3 linked regions of the Sus scrofa genome follow. The protein of the gene in region 2 purifies or fractionates together with the protein of the main gene of each other region. This does not show direct contact. Links are inferred from orthologs where the notes say so. Each region holds a gene or a part of one and is shown on either strand. Other genes may lie near its edges.

Region 1 (4,920 bases), on a different chromosome or scaffold from region 2:
ATTGGTTGGTGATGAGGCAACTGAGTGGTGTTTCAGGAATCAACATTTACAGCCTTTTGGTTTCAACTGGTCTGGAGTCTACATGCTGGTGGCTAGAGGTTAACTTCTTCCATCTGGTAGGGGTTTTAGTATCTTCTAAGCAGCTCAAGGATATGGCTCCAGATATTATTTATAGCCCTAAAGGAGGACCCAAAGGTCTTTAACTTTGTTTTTATGGCTAACCTCATGTATTGCTTGACTATTTTCCTTTGTTTGTATTTCTCTGATTAAATTTACTGTTTGGAACTCAGTGAAGGGCTAGGATGCTGAAGCTTTTCTACACACCAGAGGCAGGGGATGCAGGGTGTTCTGTCCCCAGGAAGGCCCCTCGAGTCCTACTCTATTCTTGTTATCAGTTTACCCACCCTCCCCTCCTTGTAGCACATCAATAAAAGTGTACAGAGTTTTGTGCAAATATTCAGTGCAAAACTCTAAGTCTTCCCTCCACTTCTATCTCAGTTGTCCCTTTTCAGTACTCACAATACTCCTTTAGTCCCCAGCATTATTGCCCCACACCAACAGGCATGCCCCGTAGCCAAAGGACAGGTCACATCCCTTAGGGTTCTGGCAACATGAAATGAGGGAAGGCTCCATGGAGGAGGCTGTACCTGTCCTCCTCCCTGAAGGGCAGTCGTAAATGAAGAGAATAAATATTCCAAAATAAGCATAGTGTAAGCAAATGCATGATAGCGGAGTATCTAAGAACAAAGATTTGGGGATAAACAGTTAGTTGCGAGTTAAAATCCTGGCTTCACTAGCTGTGTCATCTTGTCCAACTTAACCTCTTTGAACCTAAGTTTAAATTCTTATAAATTTAGATAATAATGTTTCTCTCTTTGGGTGTTGTGAGGATTGTATGAAATCATAATAAGGCCAGACACATTCTAAGCTCTCAAACTAAAAAAGCAGTCACCTATAAAGCAGTGAACACAAGTCATTTTCGGTAAACAGTAGTAGTTAACTTTGCCAGTGTTGGTGAATAATGGGAAAGAAGTCTGGAAAGATAAATTCAGACCAAACCAAGGTAAGTCTTTAAAGATTGGGAAAATTGAGGGGAAATGAGAATAGAGCAAAGTCAAAATGTGTGTATAGAGGAGAGAGAGAGAAAAAGAAAGAGAGAGAGAGAGAATTTCTTTAAAGAGTGGGAAGAATTGGATAAGTTACCTGGAACTCCTCTATAATTCATTTTTGTTTATCGTCTATCACTCCTATTACCTTGTGAGTTTCATGAGGGTATGGATCATGCCTGTTTTGTTCACCACTATATATCAAGAACCTTGTACAATGCCTGACCCACAGTACGTGTTCAGTAAATATTCGTTGAAATGAATAATGAATTATGACGATGGGATGGGGGGCAGGGGGATACCAAAGAAAAAAATTTCCAAGAATTCAAGCGTAGATGACTGAAATAATACAAAAGATTCTAAGTGCAGAGGAAATAATGCCTTTAAATTTGGACTCTGCAAGTTTGATAAACCTGTAGCGTATTTACGTCTTCATACTTAGCGAAACTACATACGTGGAATTGGAACTCAGAAAAGCGGCGGGAAGGAGGGGCTGGAGATGTGTTTTGAGGTTCGTCAGCATACAAGTATCAATCGAGATCACGTGGGAGGGAGGTTTTAAATGGGAGACGCCACCGGAAGTGACGCCAGTAAGAGGGGAGCAGAGGAGGCTGCATAGTGTACAGCGGGAAGTTCGCTGCAGTTGGAGCTAGGTGAAGAAAGGAGAGTGAGGGAAAAATCAGATAAAAGTATGAGGAAATTCAGAAGAGACTGGTTTCAGGGAGACAGAGAAAGACCCCATGGAAAGAGTGACCATTTTCATGAGGAGCCACATACCAGCCATTCATGGTAAGTCTGTGGCGATACCGGATCGATTTGACCACCCAGAAATTGTTGGGGGCTTTGAGATGAGCGGTTTTGGAGGATGCTGGGGCGTGTTGCAGGGGTAATTAAATTGCTTAAGCTTGAATCTCAACTAGTTTGTGACTGTAAGGGGGTTATGTAATCACTCTATGTCTTAACTATGTAACAGAAGTAGTTACCTCAGATCGTTATTGTAAGTGATTAAGTGAATGTGGGTTAAAATGCTTAGAAAAGTACCCTCCTCCCTGATAACCAGCCGGTAAAATTTTAGCTATTTTTAGGGAGTAGGTTGTGGAAAGTGTTTAATGGCTAGTTTACTAGAAACCAACCTTCATTTGAGGTCTGCAAGACACTTGAAAATGCAGCCCAGAATGAAGGGACTGAGCCTTTTCCAGTGAAATAGTGCCAAATCAAATAGTCAATAATTTTAGGAATAGTAAGGAGACATTGGCTTTTAATGCAGTGTGGATCGATTCTTCCAGAACATTCCAGAATGCTGAGCCGTTGTCTACCAGTCATGCGCAGTAGGTTTGCCCGCTTTTCCCCAAGCTCCACCCACTTTTCCTATTGGTTACAGATCTGGCCAGTGTCCTCACAATCCACATTGGCTTTTAGCTAGCACTGGCCCCGCCTCCTGAAGCAAAGAAGCCCCCACCATTGGACGCTTTAAGTAGATCTTTTATGCTGTCTCTAGGCGGGTTGGCGAAATGGATACTTTTGTTGAGATTGTACCTTAACAAAAACAAAGTGATTTTTTTTTCGAAACTAAGTTAATAAATATCAAACAAGTGAGCACATACGGCAGACAGGAGGGTACGGTCGGAACTGAAGAGACTTGGACTTAAGGTTGGTACATCGGGGTGCTTTTAACAACGGACCGAGCTACTTCCGGGGGAGAATGGGCGGGCAGAGAATTCTGTGCGTTTGGCGGGTTTCGCTTTCTTTCTAAGTATTTGACCCTCACGCAGCCGTGGGAGCCGGACACGAGAAGACGTAGTGACGCCGCCACTGCTGGAACAGGGTGCTTCGGGCTCCCCGATGGCTATGTCCGTGGTGAGTGCGGCGGCCGCGGCAGGGTGCCTGAGCGCGGGTGGCTGAGGGGCGGGGCTCTGGGGCGGGCTGTCTGCTGGTCACGTGGTAAAGCGGCGAATCTGGTCATGGCGCGCCAGGCGCCGGGGGCGGGGCCCGCTCTCTGCGGTCCCCCACCATCCTCGACCCCTGACCCTCCGTGCCCAGGGCTGTGCAGTCGCTTTGCGATCCAGGAAAGGACCCCGAGATGGGAGCTAGGTGGAGGCGGGAACGTTGGGGTCTGTTGCTTACGGCTTGTAATCTATTCTTTGCTGTTTGATTTTCTAAATAACTTTCAATTACCTGAGACAGAAACGGAACTGGTTCTTAATTCAAATAATAGGCTGGGCTGGTAAATGCCTGGGGAAGAAAGTACTTAATCTTCCTGCGGGAGAATACCACCACATTTCTTTTCTTCGGTTTTAAAGTTCTTTACAAACGCCGGTGAATTTTTATGTATTGTGAGGAAGTTTTCTAGGTATCTAGTAGTTCAAGCAGTTCCTTGAACTTGTTCAGTTTTTTTCCCCATTCAGCAACTTTTGAAAAACTTACCGCTTGAAAAGAGAACTCAACACTTCCTAACTTATCCAGTGGCAGTTCGCACCCCCCCACACACATTTTTTTTAAGTTTCAGACAGCATCATTTTTATTAAAGTGAATGCTTTGTAAAATGTTGGAAGCCTAAAGTGCCAGTTGCCAAGCAAAGATAATAGATTTATATTTAGACCGAGAAAAAGGTGAAATTCACTAATGAAGGACAAATATGCCCTAAAGATACATCCTTTAAAATAGTGCATTAAAAAAAAAATGGGAACTTGAGCCCTAATCTTTAAAATATCCAAATTTATATGGAAGAATGTGGGCTATATATGGAGCTACAAAATGAAATAAATCATCAACTTCTCTTGGTGATTTCGTGTTTGTGAGGGGGTTGGAGGAGTGGTAATGTACATTTTAATGAAGTTTTTCTTGTAGGATTTTAAAACTTATGTAGATCAGGCATGCAGAGCTGCTGAGGAATTTGTCAATATTTACTATGAGACAATGGATAAAAGAAGACGGGTAAGTGTTGTAAACTATTGTTTATTGAGTAACAGTTCTGTATTTTTTTTTTTTTTTGAGCCAGCCATTCCTCTGACTTGCCTAAGTGACAGCTGTGTTCTTTAAAAGTACATTAGTGTGGTATTATGGAAGTGTGGACTCTGGAATCATATCCCAGCTTTGTGTTTGCCTAGCTCTGTGACCTTGGGCAAGTTGCTAACCTCTCTTAACCTCATTCTATTTTTAGGGTGACAGTGAGAATTATTTAAATATTGCACTTAACATGGGATGCAGCATACGTTCACTTAAATATGTTGCATTTTCTTAGCCCCATCATTTAACCAATATGGTTAAGATAGTATTAGTGCTAGTACAGGGGTCTGCCATTACAGGGAATGTTCCCTAATTTGTCCCTTCAATTTCATATATTAATAGGTAATTTTTTTGTTAAAGCTCACAGCTATTGCTGGCACTCACAAATAGAATCCATGTGGTTTGGATACTTTTAGTCTTCAACAGAGCAAGTTCTCACTTCATCAACTTTTTTCGTTGTGACTTATCCCTGAGCCATATCTTCTAAGTAACTATTTCAGTGGTCTGGAGAGTCTTGCTTATGCCTCTTATCGGCCTAGGATTATGTTTTAGATAACTTTGTCTATGCTGCAGGTACATGAGTTACTATCTCTAAAAACTTATTTTTTAAGACAGATTAAAAAAGTTCGTGATAACTGATGTTTGATGACATGGGATGGGGCAAGAGATAGGACAATGGACATTTATTGTGCCTTGGTGCTTTCAAAGCCAAAGTAGCAAAAAAAAAAAAAAAAGAAAAAAGAAAGCAACATAGTTCATTTCTAGAATCCAGATAAGTGTTGGGCCTTTAAGTTAAATTTTTAGAGCT
Region 2 (5,086 bases):
AAGGCCCTGTTTCCCTGGAACTGCTAAGAACGGCCACTGCCCCTGATCTCCCACTCCTTGCCTCTGGCCACCCTGTCCTCCCCTCACCATCCTCAGGCCCATGAAACACACGGTTCTGGATTTGGACTCTGCTGTGAAGTGGCTGGAAGGGAGCAGAGGCCAACTGGAGGGCTCTTCGGGGAGGTTGTCTCCACTGGAGATTTTTATAAACCCTCCCCAGCCTTTCTCAACTCTGGCAGCAAGGGGAGATGATGCCCTTCCCCACCTTCCTGAGAGTGAGGAGAGGAAGTGAAACTTCCCCAGGGACCAACTTTCCCATCTGGGTTAAAATTTACCTCTTCCTCTCTTCACCATGTGAGGCAAGGGGCCCTGAGCCCTTTGGCTGCCTACACAACCCCAACTCTGGCTGCAGATGACTCTCAATCTGCCAAATGTGCTGCGGCCCGTTTCCTCCCAATTACAACAAGACTGTCAGCCTCACTAGCCATGTCGTCATTTCGGGGTGGGAGCGTCGAAGGGCCTTGGCAGCAAGTGGAGTGAGCCCACTGCCCAGCATCATAACTAAAAGGGTTGGGCTGATGGCCCTGACGGGCCAGGCTCACTCACTCTGTGCACACAGCTGCCTCCCGCAGGGGGTTTCCAGGTGTAGCAGCACTTAGTTAGCATGGAAACTTCCCTTCAGAGGCCCGTAACAGGATCCCAGCCTGGGTCCCTGATTGACGGCAACTTCCAGGACCATCTCCAGAAGTATTTGGACCTGTCTCATCTGCATGCTCCAACCATTTGGCCCCAAACTTACTTGCGCTGGATGAAGTAGGAGCCCTGCCTGCTGCTAGGAGTGAAGGTGACATGAAGAATCCGTTCCCAGCTCCAGCTGAGGCTCTTGGTCCCCTTGAAGCCCCTCACCACATCCAAGCCAGTCAGAAGAATGAAGGAGTGACCTGCCTGGAACACCCACCCTCCAGGGAGGTTAATATGCTTTCTAGTCCTGACCAGGACCCAGAACCACATCATCCTGCATCACTGGAGTTCCCCCACTTCACACACCCGAAAGGAAGCTCAAGCTGTAGAGACAACAGTCACTATACACTGTGCTGGCCCCAGTACTTTGAGGGGTCCAGGAGAGCCCAGGTCTTTCCTAGCCATGGCATTTTAATATTTCCTCTCCCTTTGGCCTGTGTTCAGCGTGTGGTCAGGCTGGCCTCCTCACTGCCCAGTTGACACAAGACGTGGGTTTAGCATAGCACATCCCGGTGGGTTGGTGGGTGGGTTGGTTTGTGAAGACAGCCAAAGCCTGGCAAATGCCGTTTTTCTCTCCTTTGATTGCAACTCTCTCGGAGGGAATGCATAGATCAGTAGTTATTTCACAAATATATGTTGGGTTCCTGCTGCGTGCGTGCTAAGTATGGTATCCAGTCAGGTGCCGGAGAGAAAAAGCCGTGAATTAATCAAGCCCCTGCTCTCTAGGAGTTTACCGTTAGTTTTCTATTTCATTTTATAGGCGAGGAGACCGAGGCCTAGATCTGCAAGTGTCAAAGGGCTGAGCTGAGACTTGCCCTGGCTGGATCCTTCTAGGTGTCTATGTGCGGTCACTCCCGCTCCTAAGGGCCTGGTCTCCCACTCCTCGGAAGCCCTTCCTGTAGCCCCTCTTCCCTGTTCCTCTCGGAATCCTGGGCTGCAGTAGCCACCTCTCCGCTTCACCGCTGACCCTGGAGGTGCTCCAGCAGAGAGCTACTAGCGGCGGGGTGGATGAAAGCAGGGGGCCGGCGAACCCGCGGTAACTCGGCTTCCCAAGCTCAGGTCCTGGGCGGGGCGTGCAACGCCAAGTCCCGCCCCCGGCTAGTCCGCTCGTCGAATGCGCACGCGCGTCTCCCAGTGGTTCCGCCCATCACCGTGGGACGTCGGCTGCGCGCGACGCGCTGGCCGCATAAATGCGGCGGCATCCGGCGTAGGAGCACTTCAGCCGGGAGAGCCTGGGCGTTCGGACGTTTGCCGGTGTCGCGGGCCGCGACAGAGCCCGCCCCTGCTCGCTGCGCCATGGCGGACGAAGGGAAGTCATACAACGGTCAGTGCTGGCCCTTGGGTCGGGGAGCCGGTCGATCTTGGGCCCTGCTGGGCTGCGCCAGCCTAGGCCGCAGCGCCGGGGCGTGAGGCCGCGAGGGGCCCGGCGTCCACGGGGAACGGCGGTGGCGCGGCGCGGGCCCGGGGCGAGGCAGCCCGGGGGCCTGGGTGAGCTTGAGGGTTGGGTGCCGGGGTTGTTGACGCTGGGATCCTCCCTTTGCGGGCCCCTGCGACTCGGAGAGGTGGCTCAGTGGTGGGGTGATGAGATTCCTTTGAACTTTGTGGGTGGTTGATGCCTGTCAGTTCAATTTGGCGGCCAAACTGTTTAATGTGAGTCAGTGCCCTTCTCCTGGGCTGATGTGCCCTATTTTCTACCGCGCGTCCAGGCGATTTTGCCCCCTCCCCCACCTAACGCGTCTGTCGCTTAGGCTTAATATTTTAGATCTGCACATCAACTCGATGTTCTGGTCCAAACACTACACTGAGTTTTAGTCCAGAGCGGTGGTTAGGAGCCGAGGTTTCAATCCCGAGTTGGCTATGCCAAGCTTGAGTAACTTACACCCTCAGACTTCGTTTTCCATCTCCTTAATGAGGATAGAAACAGTACCAGCCTTCTGAGTTTGTCTCCGTGTGTGTGTGTGTTAAAACGAGATCATTCATGTCAGGTGCCTGGAGCATAGTGCCTGACACTGGAGAAGAGTGCTCAGTGAATGTTAGCAACGACTTGTGTGCATTTATTACTTTTTTCCTAGGGTAACTTCTTGAGAAACTCATATTTTTAGTTTTTTAAGGAACCTCCATACTCTTTCCCGTAGTGGCTGCACCAGTTTTCATTCCTACCAACAGCGTAGGAGGGTTGCCTTTTCTCCACATCCTCTCCAGCATTTGTTTTTGTGGACTTTTTAATGTTGGCCATTCTGATTGGTGTGAAGTGCTACCTTATTGTGGCTTTGATTTGCATTTCTCTAATAATTAGTGATGTTGAGCATCTTTTCATGTGCCTGTAGGCCATCTGTATCGTGGGTCTTTTTTTTTTTTTCTTTCTTTCTTTTTTTTGCTTTTTAGGGCCCCAGCCGAGGCATATGAAAGTTCCCACGCTAGGGGTCCAATCAGAGATGTAACTGCTGGCCTACACCACAGCCACAGCAACGCCGGATCCTTAACCCACCGAACTAGGCCAGGGGCTGAATCCGCATCCTCATGGATCCTAGTTGGGTCCGTTAACCACTGAGCCACGCAGGGAACTCCTTCATGGGTCTTTTTTAAGAAGCGCTTCCTACACACCAGGGTTCAGAGGATCATATTCTTGGAGAGGACCCTTGGTGAAGCATCCTAACTGCCACTGGAACCTGAATTCAGGAGTTGTCTCCTTAGTTAAAAGCCTTTTCTGACCAAGAAAACAAAGAGCTCACTCCCAAACGTTCAGAGTGGCAGTTTGAGAATAAGACTTTTAAAAGAAGCCCTTAAATTGGTCCTATCTGTGTGTGGTGTTTGTATTGTATGGGCAAAAGGAGAGCTGTTTCCCCGAAAGCTAGTGTAATCATGAGGACGGATTTGCCACCTGTGAGAGGGGTCACCTCGGGGTTAAGTAGATTTGGGTGGGCCCACAGAAAGCGGATGTCGGGTGACTTTTGAGGGGTTCGAATTGTGTCCAGTTACTCTGGGTCACTCACACTTCACATTCACTTGAGAGTGGCAGTTGGAGAGCAAGATTTTTTTTTTTTTAAATCTTTTTAAATTGAGGAAGGTTGATTTACAATGTAATGTTGGTTTCAGGTGTACAGCATAGTCATTCCTGTATTTATAGATTACACTCCATTAAAAGTTATTGGAAAATAATCGTTGTCATTCCCTGTGCCGTACAACAGATCCTTGTGGCTTATCTCTCTTATACTTAGTAGTTTGTATCTCTTAATCCCATATCTTGCCTTATCTTGCCCCTCCCCCTCATAACCACTAGTTTGTTGCCTGTATCTGTGAGTCTGTTTCTGTTTTGCTGTATACATTTTATTTTTTTAAATTCCACCTGCAGGTAATGTCACATAGTATTTGTCCTTTTCCCTCTGGCTTATTTCACTAAACGTAATACCCTGCAAGTTCATTCATGTTGCAACTATGGCAAGATTTCATTCTTTTTGATGGCTGAATAGTATTCCGTTATGTGTGTGTGTATGCACCACATCTTTATCCATTAGTCTCTTGGTGAACACTAGGATCGCTTCCATAGCTTGGCTACTGTAAATAGTGCTACCGTGAACATGAATCTTTTTGCATTATATATTTCTTTCTAGATGTATATCTAGGGGTGAAATTGCTGGTGGTCATATGGTAGTTCTATTTTTAGTCTTTTGAGAGGAGAACAAGACTTTAGAAGATGCTTGTGGAGTTCCCTGGTGGTTCAGCAGGTCGAGGATCTGATGCTGTCACTGCTGCAGCATGGGTTTGAGCCCTGCCCTGGGAACTTCTGTATGCCTTGTGGGTGCAGCCAAAAAAAAAAAAAAAAAGGTCTTAAATTGGTCATATTTGTAACTGACATTTGTGCTCTATAGGCAAGAGTCCTGTTTACCAGAGCTGATGTAATCATTGAGATTGGTTTTTCCCCTTGTGATTGGTTTTCCTTTGTGATTGGTTTCCCAAGATATAATCACTGACCACATTTCCAGTGGAGTTAAGTAGACTTGGGCACTTGAGAGCAGGCAGTTTTCAGGTGACCTGACCGAGTGTGAGTTGTGTCCAGTTACTGCTCGGGACACTCGCACTTCCACATTCTGCTTCTCCTTTGTAGTTCCAGTTTCTGCTTCATTTTTCTAAAGCCTTATACACAGTTTTCCAGGGATGTTTCCCTTTTGCTGCCATCCCACGGAGAAGGTTCTTTCCCTGGCCAGGCAGAGGAGTTTGCCAGGAGGTGGGCTCTGTCGTGATTGTGTGTCTCCTGTCTGGTAGTGCAGGGTGCTGGATACTGGGATCGCCCAGTAGGGGAGCTGAACCAGGGATGTATTTTCTAATTTGTGTCCCGTTTCCAACC
Region 3 (4,868 bases), on a different chromosome or scaffold from region 2:
TGGCGTGTATGTGTAGATGTGGTATACAGAGTATAGGAGAAAGGAGACTTAAATAAGCCTTTATTTGGGTGAATAAAGTATGGATTCTCTCAGGTAATGCTACAAATTTATAGTTTTTTTTTCAGTTTTCAAATTATGGAAGGAATCGGTCTATCTCTAGAAAATCTCTAGCAAGAAAATAGAAGTTCTGTACAGTTTATGTTTGTTTCACCTTATTGATTTTTCCTTATCTACTTATCAAGATTCTTCTGGAAAGGATTAAACAATAAAGATCTTTTTATATTCTTTATATAGAAAGAATATCAATTTTGTAAAGCCTCACTAATTAAACTTTATTCTGTTAAGAATTTAATGACAAAAAAAAGAATTTAATGACAATTACTGTTGGACAAAACATAGGTAATTTACTGAGAGTACTTATTATATGCATAGCTCCTAATAGGCCTCAATAAATATTTTTTCACTCTGAATACAAGTCTATTGTACAAAAGAGAATTTCTAAGAATATAATAATGTAAACAGTACGAAAAGAAGCAATTATCCAACCTATAACAAATTGCTTTCAAGCTCATTTAAGGAAAACCCTGATTGGCTTGCCTGTCTTTTTAGCTAAGTATTATTTATTTCTATTAAAGGAAGGCCAATTCTAGGCTGAGCTTTGCTAACCTGGTTGCTGTGAAAAAATAATAGTACTGTATACTGCTTTTGTACAGTTGTACTGAACACTTTCTTTAAGAGCATGTAACCAATTACATGTCAATATAAATTAGGGAGTTTTTTTTTTTAAGAGTTGTTTTTATTTCTGCTGATTCTTTTGAAATCAGTTTCACCTACATAAATTTCATATTAAATTAAGATCACATTCCCAGATTCAATTTGAATGTGAAAGTTACTTAATTTGATTCAGTGAATATTCTAGTATTTCCTAACATGACCTACTAAATAATTCTCAAGTTATGGTTATTAAATATCAACAATATTAGTTTATGAAGGGGGGTATGTCTTAATCCTTTCATTGCAGCTTTCAAAACGTATTTGCCTTTCCTAGGTTCAGTATTTCTGGAGAAACATTAAAGAAAAATTCACTTTTTATCTTACTTTATTCTCCATCTTAGTTTCATTTTTAAATCATTGTCAAACATTTTGGCTTAGGTGTGAAAACTTTAGAACAAAAACAAGTTTAGAGCTTTTGCACAGGTATCAGTTTTTAATTTAAAAATCATCTTTATATTATAAAAGTATTACCAACATTTATCTTTTAAGATGTATTTCCGTATGCACTGTGTATGTTTGTGCTGTAGGTCAATCTGAACAGCTGTATTCAACCACAACTTTCTTTTCTTTTTTCAACATTTCATAATCTTCTGTTCCCTCAAGAAGGTTGAGAAATTCTGGAAGGAAAAACTCTTAGTGGCATGTTTATACTACTTTTATATTGTATAAAGAAATTAACTTCTCACTAGCCAAGTACTGGACTGCAGTCAGTACTGAAGTATATAGGAGAGAGAGGGGAACTACTGTTAAAGAATGACAGGGCTTTGACCAAGAGTAAAACTAAGAAGAGGAAAAATGCGATGCAAGAGTGCCCCAATGATAGAAATCCAAATGGGTGGTTTGGGAGTATAAAGCAACTTAAGAGTGAGGCTTTCTGAGAAAAGACTGTGTTAAAAAGTGTGAAACTGTAAAGCCATCAAGCCCTAAACTAATCAATTTGTTGTTTCTTCTCTAAAGGAAGAATAGTAATGAAAGGGACTTGGTCAGCTTGATGTCTTAATTAGAGAGAGCTAGACTAGCTTAGAGTTTAGCACTTAGCACTGTCTTGGAAGGAGCAAACCTATGTTAATTAACCACCTCTCAGCTGTACTTAGACCATTGACTTTCCTTTGTTTGATGTTTTGCTACTGAGTTATTAGTCCCTGAAAATTAATATCGTCTACTGTAAATTAACAGACATAATTTTAGTTCAAGGGGGAAAGAAGTGGGGTGGACTGGGAGTTTGGGGTTAGTAAATGCAAACTATTACATTTAAAATAGATAAACAATAAGGTCCTACTGCATAGCACAGGGAGCTATATCCGATCTTCTGGTTCAGACCATGATGGAAAATAATATTTAAAAAAAGAATGTATATATGTATGTGCGTATGTATATACTGACTAAGTCACTTTCCTGTACAGTTGAAATTGGCACAAATCAACCATACTTTAGTAAAAAATAAAAAAATAATTTTAGTTCAAAAATCTTTTTTTAGGAGAGATGGTGTAGTGTAATGACGAAGAGTGTAAGTGTCACGGAGTGTGACAGAGTGGGGTTTGAAGCTTGGCTCCACTATTAAAGAGCTGACTACTTTTAACCAAGTTTTGAATCTCCTGGTACTTCAGCTTGCTCATCTGCAAAATGTGATTTAATAATAGTACCTTGTCTCAGATGTTAGTATTGGATGAGTTAAACCAAGTATGTAACATTGCATACTGTCTAGCACACACAGAGTGTTCAATAAATGTTAGCTGTTAGTAATAGGAGGAGAAGGAGCAGCAGCAGTTTGATTAACCTTTGCAGTTGCTAAAAATTTGATATGAGTTGGGCACTTGACAAAATTAAAGTTTCTGCAAAGCTGAGGACTAGACTCTGGAACATGGTTGTGATCAGCTTTGGACATGCCTGAGATATCTTTGTCTCTTTACTCAGTGATTTCAGTATGGGAAATTGCCACTTTTCTTTTTTGACCCAATCCACATAGAGGAAAATATTCTGGCACATGTAACATGCAAATACTTAGAAATTGTCTTCATGAAAAGTAAATTTCCACGAACCCCAAAATCAAATTCTGAAACTTTCTTAAGGGTTCTATGCAAAAGTATTTGCCTATAGAATGGGGAGATGTGTTTTCATGAGCAGTATGGAAATTGTCACTTTTTATTACAAAGTTTAGACTTGGAAGCTAATTTCTATAAGAATAGGTACACCTTTTTTAAAAAAGTGAATGATGGAGTTACTGTTTGGGCTCAGCAGAAACAAACCCAACTAGTATTCATGAGGATGCAGGTTGGATCCTTGGCCCCTCTCAGTGGATTAAGGATGGGGCTCAGATCTGGCGTTGCTGCAGATGTGGTGTAGGCCAGCAGCTACAGCTCTGATTCAACCCCAAGCCTGGGAACTGTCATGTGCCTCCCCTATGGCCCTACAAAAAAAAAAAAAAAAAAAACAAAAGAATGAAATCTACTTCAAAACCTATGGCAAATGGAAACATACACTACAACTCTCAGATAGTTATGTTTAGACTGCATATGAAAGAAATGGCTTGAAATTCAGAGGAGGAATTATTCATTTTTATTTTAATTTTTAATGGCCACACTCATGGGATATGGAAGTTCCCAGGAGCCAGGGATTGAATCCGAGCCACAGCAACCTACACCACAGCTGCAGCAACACTGGCTCCTTAATCCACTGCAACAGACTGAGGGTTAAACCCGCACCTTCACAGTGACCCAAACTGCTGCAGTCAGATTCTTAACCCACTGCACCACAGTAGGAACTCCAGGAAGAAGTTTTTAGATCACTAGTCTGACCATCTCATTTTTCAAAGGAGACTAAGAATTGCTGCATGATGAGTGCAGTGGTTCCCAAATCCTGCTGCAAGGACTGTCAGTTTGAGCATTGATGAAAATCTCTCCAGTCTCAGAAAAATATAAACTATTGCCAATCATTCTTTCTTGGGAAAAAATCTTTTCTTCTGTAATAATGTCATTTTTTTCTGTTAAAATGCTTCTCCCTACTCCTCTTTTTTAAGGAAAGGATGCTAGGAATCATTTTTTTAATCCCATGTGTTTTTCTTTTTTATTTAATTTTAATTTTATATTGGAGTATTGTTGATTTACAATGTTGTGTTAGTTTTAGATGTATGGCAAAGTGATTCTGTTATACATATACATATATTCATTCTTTTTCAGATTCTTTTCCCATATAGGTTATTACAGAATATTGAGTAGCTATCCCTGTGCTATACAGTAGGTCGTTGTTGATTATCTATTTTATATATAGTAGTGTGTATATGTTAATCCCACACTCCTAATTTATCCCTCCCTCATGTCTTGTCTTTTCTTTTTTGTTCTTTTTAAGTCTGTACCTGTGGCGTGTGGAACTTCCCAGGCTAAGGGTGGAATTGGAGCTGCAGCTGCTGGCCTACACTACAGCCACAGCAATGCAGGATCTGAGCTGCATCTGCGGCCCATGCTGAAACTTGCGGCAACACCACATCCTTAACACTATGTTGGGTTCTTAACTCCTGAGCCACAATGGAAACTCCTCTCCGTCGTGTGTTTTCTTGATTGAAAAAAGTTTGTCCCCTCCATTCCCTAATTTTTTTTTTTTGTCTTTTTGTCTTTTGTCTTTTTTGTTGTTGCTGTTGTTGCTATTTCTTGGGCCGCTCCCTCGGCATATGGAGGTTCCCAGGCTAGGGGTCGAATCAGAGCTGTAGCCGCCGGCCTACACCAGAGCCACAGCAACGCAGGGATCCGAGCCTCGTCTGCAACCTACACCACAGCTCACGGCAACGCCGGATCGTTAACCCACTGAGCAAGGGCAGGGACCGAACCCGCAACCTCATGGTTCCTAGTCGGATTCGTTAACCACTGCGCCACGACGGGAACTCCCCTAATTTTTTTTTTAATCTAGTTTTCCAAATTCAAGAGTCTAGAATCTATAGTAAGGAACAAAGTATGACTTTACCCAGTAAAAAATATAGAAAAAAAATAAGAAGAGCAAAAAAGAAATGTCTATCCTTACTAAAAATGCAAATTACAACAACATGCTATTTTTGTCAGGAGTGCAGTGAAATTGGCACTTACACTAATGAGAATGTGAGGAGT

Evidence for each region. The genes of interacting proteins can lie anywhere in the genome.
Region 1: the proteins of NXF1 (region 2) and NXT2 purify together in Homo sapiens (co-immunoprecipitation; 5 studies listed by BioGRID and IntAct, counting the BioPlex papers as one, with this or other methods). This does not show direct contact. The link is inferred for Sus scrofa from reciprocal best matches to the Homo sapiens genes NXF1 and NXT2.
Region 3: the proteins of NXF1 (region 2) and SRSF7 purify together in Homo sapiens (affinity purification with western blotting; 3 studies listed by BioGRID and IntAct, with this or other methods). This does not show direct contact. The link is inferred for Sus scrofa from reciprocal best matches to the Homo sapiens genes NXF1 and SRSF7.

The regions. Positions count from the first base shown.
Region 1 is NC_010461.5:89,682,990-89,687,909, forward strand, and holds the start of NXT2 (NTF2-related export protein 2), read left to right. Parts: upstream 1-1,743; 5' UTR 1,744-1,797; coding exon 1,798-1,895; intron 1,896-2,484; exon of another isoform or gene 2,485-2,756; intron 2,757-2,878; coding exon 2,879-2,963; intron 2,964-3,052; exon of another isoform or gene 3,053-3,067; coding exon of another isoform or gene 3,068-3,217; intron 3,218-3,953; coding exon 3,954-4,040; intron 4,041-4,920. UniProt on the Homo sapiens protein: Regulator of protein export for NES-containing proteins. Also plays a role in mRNA nuclear export.
Region 2 is NC_010444.4:8,968,031-8,973,116, forward strand, and holds the start of NXF1 (nuclear RNA export factor 1), read left to right. Parts: upstream 1-2,037; coding exon 2,038-2,065; intron 2,066-5,086.
Region 3 is NC_010445.4:101,597,738-101,602,605, reverse strand, and holds the start of SRSF7 (serine/arginine-rich splicing factor 7), read right to left. Parts: upstream 3,178-4,868; 5' UTR 1-3,177.